Linked DNA regions of Mus musculus. The main gene of each other region encodes a partner of the protein of the gene in region 2 in a complex. Links are inferred from orthologs where the notes say so. Each region holds a gene or a part of one and is shown on either strand. Other genes may lie near its edges.

Region 1 (4,498 bases), on a different chromosome or scaffold from region 2:
AACAAAGTTCAGCTTAATTAAGCCTGCAATGAAACTCCAATCTCAGTAGAAAATGTTAAAGAACCAAACAACAGATTTGCAAGACCCATAAAAGTAAATATCAGACCTGGGGGAAGTGGGGTGCTTTTCAGCAGTCTGCACTGCCATCTAGCCAAGACCATCTCACTCTGTACAAAGTCCATTTGTGTTCAGAAAGCCACTAATGAAAGCAAGCCTGCAGCAATCAGCTTAACAGACCCCAAGAGTTTAGCTGAAAGGATTGGCAGGAGTCCTTCATCCATTCTGACTCTGCAAAACCTCCAAACCCTGTGAACCAACAACAACCCCACTTTCACAAATCACTATGCAGGAAAAAGTCACATATGCTTCCTTAGAAACTATTCCAACATCATTGGTCCCTTCTGACTTTTAAAATCTCTGACTATCCTGTAACTTCATTGGAAAAGAACCAGATTCCTCCGGGATAAAAGAATCTCCCAGTAAGGCTCTGAAAGAACTGAACTGTATGTAGCATCTAGGACTCTACCTATAGTTTAGCATAACTGTAATCCCAAACCAGTATTTGTGAAGAGAACTAATACACACAAAAATAAACAGAAGCTACTTACGATAGAAGACGTACTCAGTATAGCTCGACCAGATCTTATCTTCTGTATACTGGTTGACAAAAGATGCTGTAACCGAGGAGTTACAGGCCACCATGTGGAATCCACACTCTGACAACATATCAAAAGCTCTTTCCAGATGTTTAAACTTGAGATAAAATCTGGAGGTGTATCTTTCTGGAGCTCGGTCGGGGTCTCTACTTTCATTCAAAGTTTCTCCAAAGACTTCTTTTGCCAAGGAAATTCTTCCGCAAACCAAAATCCGGGGGACTCTCCGGAACTTGGCATCTGCTTGCCCCTCTCTGCCCAAGGTACAGGATCCCCTGTAACCCACAGTAATAAAACCCCACTTGCGGTCGTGAGGAAGCAGCGAAGAGGGGGGGCAGATTCTCGTGTCGCTTCCTTGGGAGGCATCTTCGAAGTCACTGTGGCAGAACTCATCCGGGCTTTGCTTGACATCCTCGGGGGCCAGGAGTTTGACGAGGTCAGGGAGCTGGAAGTACTCAGCTTCTCTTTTCAGCCTTCCTCTTTCTGGAAAGTGATCAGGCAGGACCACCTGCCTGTCCCTGAGATAGTCCAGAATATAACGGAACAGAAAGCCATCTCTGTCAATGAAAAACCTTCCCTTGGAGTCCTTGGCTAGATCGTTAGCAGTGTCTCTCTTTGGGGAGAACATTTTCCACAGGAGAGAATGGGGGATGCTTATTAATGTGGAATGGCGAGTGAAGTAAACCTGGCCGCCAACATTCAGCTCTATGACTTCAGGGAAGGAGTTGGGAACAGCAGCCCCCTGGTCCCGAGGATAATAACGGCTACAGTTCCCACTTAGAGCCATTGTCCCTTTCTTCTGCAGCCTCCTGGAATTAAAGGTGCAATCCAACTGAGTTACAGCCCTAGACTTTGCATCCACGAGTGAGGTAAGATAAAGATACTAACTTTTCTTTTTAAATCACCCCTTCTTACCCTGGTTTTGTTTTGGTTTTTATTCTCCCAACAAAGCAGATTTTAGGAGAGTCCACAGTTGAAATAATGCTGGAGGAGAAGTTAAAAGCTGGCTGATAGCGAGCTCTTACTTCACAGGATGTAATAATCGGCTCCTCTACATTCAATCTTCCATTAGGCTCTGTAGGCAAGAAGGCCAAATGCCCAGTTACTCAGAGGTCTGTCTAAGAGAAAAGAGAAAAACGATTTCCTCAGACCCAGAATGAGTCAGAAAAGGAGAGACCTCTGGGGAGAGTAGAGAGGGAGAGAGGGGGGCAAAATGACAGGGAAGAGGGAATATTATTTTTACATAAGCAGCCTGCACCTACGGAGTTTAATCACTCCTTAACTGAGTGAGTTCTTCCCTAGGGGTGTATCGAGTCTTTAAGTTTATCCACATGCCACTGTCTCCAGCAACTGCTGTTCAAATCGATCCTGTTTGCAAATCTGATGTGAAAGGCATATGCAGTTTTCAACTTCCAAAGAGACCCGTTTTTTTTTTTTTTTTTTTTTTTTTTTTTTTTTTTTTCCAGCAGGACAGAGAAAGCAGTGAGTCTCTGCGCTTACCTTAGCGAGTGAGTGCTGGAGACTCAGTTCTTGCGAAGAAATAACCTTTTCCAGAGCAATCAGAAACCACAGCCACACACTGAGCCTGGACGTCTTGTCAAATCCCAAACAGGTAAAGGACAGAGGTATCGATGAAAAGTGTCAAGAGATTGGTGCTCTCGGAAAACAATGATTCCACACTTAAGCTCTAGTAGGTGTACGTTTCTATGTGTGTATGAATGGGTGTATGCATTCACATCTAATCTCTAGCTAAAACGAATCGGGGGGGAAAAAAGTTGAACCGAGAGGATGCTGAGTCGAAGAAGTGGAGCAGAGGAAAAAAATATATATATTCAACCAAAGCTTCCGTAGGAAAAAAAGAAAAAACGAAATCCAAACCTTATAGAACAGATAAATCCTTTGCACCTGGAAGAGTTGCAAGAGGTACCTGGACTTAGAGGCATTCAGAGAGCCCAGAGGCAGGGCGACAGATAGATGCGCCCCCCAGGGTTGCAGCAGCCACCCCACCTGCAGGCAAGGGCAAAGGGACGCCCATGTCCCCGCCAGGTGGGAAGGAAAAGCAGCCGGGAAGGCGAGAGATGCCTGCGGGGCTTGGGCTCCGAAGCTGAGAGGTCCCACGGTGCCAGGAGCAGTTCGGATGCTGTTGTGTGAGCAGTGCAGGCAAGAAACCATCCAGGGAAATGACTATTACATCATCTTAAAGGAATAGGGCTTGGAGAGAGCGGAGGCAGCTCGGAGTCACGTCCTCGGCGGTGACAGGTTGCCAGCACTGACGGGGACGTGCGCTCGCGGTGGGCACGGGACCAGAGGCGCTGGCTGCTGACACAGGGCGGGGACGTTGCACGGTACAGGGGCCCCCAGCCTGTGGTCTGGAGTTTGCACAAGCAGCTTCTTCCTTGGTTGTCCCTCCACCGCAGCCCCCTCCCCCTATCAATTACCCTCCATCCTGGCTGTGATTTTCTTTTGAAAAAAAAAAAAAAAAAACCTTCGGAGGAACTCTTCAAACGCGTGACTCTGCAAACAAACGGGCGGGCGCACTTCTCCTTTTAAGCCATTTTCCCTTTAATCCTATGGAATGTTCAAGTTACAAGTGTTTGTAATTTTTAAAAACATCCTTGGATTACAGTCATACTCAGTCAAATACCTTTTCCCCTTCATTCCATCCACCAATACACACACACACACACACACACACACACACACACACACGAGAACAGGATTAAGGATGCTCTTTCAAAATTCAACTATCCATAAAAAACTAGGAGTTTTAGCAGTAAGTCATTATCTTGACTCACCTGAAAGAAACTGCCTCCTGCAACCTGTTCTGAGGCTGCCTCCTTACTGAGACTCTTGAATGTGCCTGCCCATCCCAACCCATCCCAAGAGTACTCCCGTGGAAGACACGCCTGCCTGCTAAGAGAGATTTTACTCCTGTCCCAGCGGGCTCCCTTAAGTGCATCATTAGAGTTTCAAGAAGGCATTTCCAGGGCAACCTAATACACTAACGAAGTGCTTCCAGTTGAGCCTGCCAGTCAATAATGGCCCAGCCAACAGCTTACAGTAACTCCGCCATTTCCCCTAAAAATATGCAATGTCCTGGGCTCACATCTCTGATAAGAACACACTTATTCGTCAATAAGGTGAAGCACACACCATCCCAAACAACTGATAATTTAAAAGGTTAAAATCAAAAATGGAGGGAAATGGAGGAGATTCCTGTGTTCAGTGCCAACTTTTGCCCCATGAATTAGCTTGAAGATCTTTCAACAGCAGACTGAAATGTGTGTGTGTGTGTGTGTGTGTGTGTGTGTAACAATCTTTTCTTTCAATAATCATTGGGTTACTGAACACATTTGGAATATTAGCTCACTCTCGAACACCTGATTATATTTGACTTTGCTGCTTAAACTAATGCATTAACCTGCTCTCTGGCCTCCAACGCCTTGATTTTAAAGCTGGACCAATTAAGGAAATGTTTATGTGATGCGCTTATATCGCCATCTAGTGTCCAAAACTATCAGGACAGTTTGTTATCTGGAAATTTAGCTAAGTTTAAAAATGTTACCTATTTTTAAGTTTTTATAGTGAACTGAATTTACTTTGTATTCATTATTCACCATGACAACAAAGTAAACATTTCATTTTCACCATGTTAGAGATAAGAGTAGGTCTGAGTCTATGCAGACTTCAATACTGGTTGGGGTGAATAAGAAAGTAAGTGTATGCTTGGGCTTTTGTTTCTACCGTTCATGTTGAGACAGGCTGACCTCAAACTTATTAAGTATCCAAGGTTAACTTTGACTTCCTGATTCTTCCGGAAACTGAGATTACGGCAGCCACCACAC
Region 2 (4,337 bases):
ATAGTTCCTGGGCACTCTCCCAAATGTGATACTTCATGCACGAGGTGATATATTGACTGTCAGCCAGAATTCTCTTTTCTGGTAGTAACCTCCCTGACTCTCTTAAAGACTGTAAGGCCAAGCAGGAGAAAGAAGCATTCTTAATATTTTAGCAGTGACTGACTTATCCCACCTAAAGCCATAGTGTCTCACTGGTGAATCCACACCAAATGGAAGTGCAGGAAGGGAGGCAGTTATTTATTGAGTGCTTACAGCGTGCCAGACAGAGTGCTGGCAGTGGAGCCTGCTGGCATCTCTCTGTAAGCCCCTGGACGCCATCCGACAGAGGATGGCTAACCACTCTGCTCTTGAGATCTGAACACCTGCATTTAGAGGCATTAGAGATTAAGTGTCCAATTCAAGGTCATGGGTGGGCGGGGTCAGGAGGTCAGAGGGATAACCTATTTCTGCAGTGTTCAACCCTAAGCCCCAGATCAGGTACAGTTGACATTAGAGGGAAACCCAGTGCTGTGCCTGAAATATTCCCACCAACCAAAGCTCCTCTGACTGCCTCATCCTCTTGACTTTGGGTCCTCTCACTCAGAAAGCCACCAAGACACACTTGAGAAAAAAAATGTAAAAGCGTTGGCCCACACCCTGCAACCAAGCGCCCATCCCTCTGCTACCACAAATGGACTAATGAGAAACTTCTCAGGAAGCATTCGAAAAGGTTTTACAAGACATAGTGAAGATGTATACAGGGCAGCCCTGTCTACAATTGCTTTTGTCTTCTAAGAACCGGCCTGTCCCTGTCCCTGTCCCTTCCAGAATATGGGTGGAAGCCACATGAAAGTGTGCCAAGGATATATGCCTCTGCATAAATGCATACCCATCTCAATGTGCTTGTGCCAGACAGGTACCCCTAAAGAACTTGAAACACTGAGGGGGGAGGGAGAAAAAAGGAGGTCGTCAGGAACGTCAATCGAAAGTGATTTCACACACGGTTAGCCCTGTACAGCCACCCAGTGTGCCTCTTCCCGAGGCAGAGGAGCCTCTCTGCCTGCAGCAACCTGAGCTCACCGTTACCAACTGCCACCAATTCCTTCACCTTTTATTTACAGAGCAGAACAGCAGGCTGCTTCACTGGTGAAGCGGGGGAGGCGGGGAATGAGATACAATCTACATTATGCTCTTTTCCGGGAGGGGGTATAAAAAAGGGGTCAGGCAGGGGAAGAAGCCAAGCCCAGGTTACACCACCAGGGGGATGCTCCTTTCTTGAGGAGTCTGCCCGGGAGCTCCAGCAAAGGTGCGCTGGGGGAGCCCGGGAAGCAAGGGTCCAGAGCTCGCCCTGGCTTTGCTGGGAGAGATGCAAGAGGCGCCAACAGAGCTCTCAGTAAAGGAAATCACTGCCCCCTTCAGGCCGAATCTTATCTCTCGAGGCTGCGGACCGGAGAGTAGGGGCTCCCTGGGTCCGGAAAAACTCGCAAACCCGTCCTTATTCCTGATCGCTCTTCCAGGCCCTCTCTTCGTCCTAGCCTCAGAGTGGGCAGTCAGGGTCTGAGCTGAGGCTCCTTGGAAACCTAGACATGAGGGCGTGAGATCGGGGTTTGGGATGGAAAGGTCTTGGTTCTCCAGCTCTGCTCAGAAAAGAAGGCCAGAGGGGAACCCTCTGCCACACTCCAAGTCTAGGCTCCCACGACACGAACGCCTCAAGTGTGCACCTGCTCAGCGGTGTTAGCAGCTGCTGAACAAAAGTGGAAGCGCGATCGGACACCACCACACGTCCCGGGCTAGACCTGTCAAGCCACTCTATGAGCAACTAACCCAAGGCGGGGAGAGGGGGAAGGGGAGTCTCCCAAAACTGCTCCAGCTACTGCCAGCGCTGGACAGATCCAGGCAGCAGCGCTGCAGAACCCTCCGGGCTCCGAGGCTGACCGTGGCGCGCGCGAGCCCTGAGCTGCAGAAGTGCACCACAGGATCGGTCCTGCCCGAAGCTTGGCCCCCGAGGGTCCTGGAGCCCTCTAGCCCTAAAAGGGCGGCTTGGAATTTTTAGGGTCTGGGAATAGGCCCCATAGCCTGTCCAGCTGTGGCTGGCCCAGTTTGTAATCAGTGTGCGTGTTCCTCTTACTTGGCACCTGACAACCCTAGGAGCAGCACCGGACAGGGGCAACCGGCGCAGGCCTCTGGGAGTCCAACCTCTCACATCTCTAACTCCTCCTCTGGTCAAAGGAGACCCCCATTCCACACCCACACAGAGGTGGAAGGTGCTCACAGATCAGGGTCCCACCTGCTCCAGCCAAGCCCAGTGAGACCCTGATGGACCCAGTACGCGGTCAGCCAGCGAGGAGGAGACAATCACGGCTCTGTCCCTCCTCGACGCCCCCAGCCTCGACGGCATGGGTCACTGGACACTTACCTCGGTGTCGTAGAGTCGCAGGTCCAGGAAGTAGGGGCGCAGGAGTGACTCGTTGCGGATCTGCTCGATGGCTAGCTCCACGGCGGGGAGCACGCCGCGCCCGATGCTGCCCTTGGCCACCTCCTTGGTGAGCGGCATGAGGCCCATGATGGAGAGCGGCGGGCTGCTGGGCGGCGGCCGGGGGGCGCCCCGCGCCCAGCCCCAGGCCCCGGGAGCCAACGACAGCAGCAACGACAGCAGCAGGGGCAGCAGCAGGCGCGCGGGCGGCGGCGGTGGCGGCGGCGGCCGGGGCTGCCCGGAGCTCGGCGGGGAAGCCATGCCGCGCCGCGGGCTGCGGGCGCCAGCTCACTCGGCCCGCATGGCCTGGCCCGGCCCGCCGCCCGGCGCCGAGCTCTGCCCGCGGCTCCCGCGCAATGGCGCCGGCACGGGCCCCGGCTCGGCTCCGGCTTCTGCTCGCTCAGAACGGCCGCGGCGGCGGCGGCGGCGCCCGTGACGGATCAATCACGCCGGGAAGGGGTGGGAGCCAGCGGAGTGCGGGAGGCGGGGAGCCAACGAGCGAGCGAGCGAGCGAGCGCCGAGGGGGCCGAGTCTCCGCGCGCCTCTCTCCAGCGCGGCCGCCCCGCACCCGGCCGCCTCCTCCCGCCTCCGTGCGCGATCGCAGCTCTTTCCTGCTCGGAGCCGCGGGACGTCGGACCCTGGAGCCCGGCCAGGGGAGGGAGGGCGGCAGGAGGCTCGGGAGGCGAAGGCAAGGCTGCTGAGCGGCGGCTCGGGCCGCCTCCGGGGACAGGGACGGGCCGTGCGCGCCGGGGGAGGGGGAGGCGCCGGCGCTGCGGCTGCCGCGGGGAGGGCCGTGCTCCCGGCACACGCACACTCGCGCCCCGGGCGCTGCGCCGCGCCGGCTGCTGCGGCCGGCTGACCCCGCCGCCGGGGACTGAGCTCCAGAGCCCCACGTTCGGGGGAATCGAAGCTGCTATGCGCGGGGGACGCGGGCGCCTCGCCTTGCGCTTCCTGTAGCACCTGCAAGGTGGTTGGGTACTGCTTCTCCCAGGTCTGGGCGGGCGAGTCGAGGAAACGAACGTTCTACAAAGGTGTCCTAGGGGCACCAGCAGCCTGCGCTCTCCTGTGCCAGCTACCAGGGAACCTGGGACCCTTGATCCAGTCTGGAGTCCTTTGCCAAGCCCAGGTCAGGGCTGGGATAGGAGACCTATGAGTACTACCGCCTCCTCCAGGCGTTTGACCTCCCGGTGTCCCCAGTCCCAGAGGGCCCCGCCTTAAAATTCTCCCCTGGGTGGGAACCCTGTCTTCAGTCCCAAGAAGCACAGCCTGGACTTGGCTCATTCTGTCTCCCAGGTGGTATAAACACACTGGATAACCCCAGGCAAAGTAGTCCTGGACAAGATGAACCTGAGTAACCCCTCTGTGCCTCCCTGTGAATCATGGCACTTGTGAGCACTAACCTACAACATCCCAAAGCCTGACTAGTACAAGGATACATTACATTACATTATAAAACAGCCCATCCAAGCATTGTGGACCAAAAGCACGACCTTGTAACAAGGGTGGGAATTTAACCTTCACTAACTGCTTGCTACCTGACATATCTGATGTATCCTCAAAACAGCCGTATACGCTTAGTACAGTGGGTCTATCATTCCCGTTTTACAGAAGAATACACTGATCGATAATATACAGCTAATACAGGGGAAGCAGAATGCACAGCCACAAAGGACTCTTATGCACCCCTGATATTGGAAAGCCCTTCCAAAAGGAGGACATGGAGGCCACGGTGCTCTCAGTAGCTCTAGATCCCGTTCCTCCACACAGTTTGTAATGGGTCATCTAAATGGAGTCTGCATATTTGGAGCTGGGCAGGAAACCCGGAGGAAACCTGGAAGATAGAGCCCAGGCTGAATTGAGGACGGCAGTACCTTGGACAGCTCCA

Evidence for each region.
Region 1: the proteins of Gabbr2 (region 2) and Kctd16 are in contact, whole or in part, in a crystal structure (PDB 6M8R), measured with the Homo sapiens proteins. The link is inferred for Mus musculus from reciprocal best matches to the Homo sapiens genes GABBR2 and KCTD16. Residues at the interface, in NP_005449.5 of Homo sapiens: Ile882, Asn883, Ile888, Gln889, Arg891, Leu892, Ser893, Leu894, Gln895, Leu896, Pro897, Ile898, Leu899; in NP_001357415.1 of Homo sapiens: Asn30, Gly32, Gly33, Gln34, Val35, Tyr36, Asp64, Leu65, Ala66, Lys67, Asp68, Ser69, Arg72, Phe74, Gly79, Phe80, Arg83.

The regions. Positions count from the first base shown.
Region 1 is NC_000084.6:40,255,303-40,259,800, reverse strand, and holds the start of Kctd16 (BTB/POZ domain-containing protein KCTD16), read right to left. Parts: upstream 2,803-4,498; 5' UTR 2,154-2,802; exon of another isoform or gene 2,120-2,153; intron 1,772-2,119; 5' UTR 1,441-1,771; coding exon 609-1,440; intron 1-608. UniProt on the Homo sapiens protein: Auxiliary subunit of GABA-B receptors that determine the pharmacology and kinetics of the receptor response. Increases agonist potency and markedly alter the G-protein signaling of the receptors by accelerating onset and promoting desensitization.
Region 2 is NC_000070.6:46,988,713-46,993,049, forward strand, and holds the start of Gabbr2 (gamma-aminobutyric acid type B receptor subunit 2 precursor), read right to left. Parts: upstream 3,003-4,337; 5' UTR 2,714-3,002; coding exon 2,396-2,713; intron 1-2,395. UniProt on the Homo sapiens protein: Component of a heterodimeric G-protein coupled receptor for GABA, formed by GABBR1 and GABBR2. Within the heterodimeric GABA receptor, only GABBR1 seems to bind agonists, while GABBR2 mediates coupling to G proteins.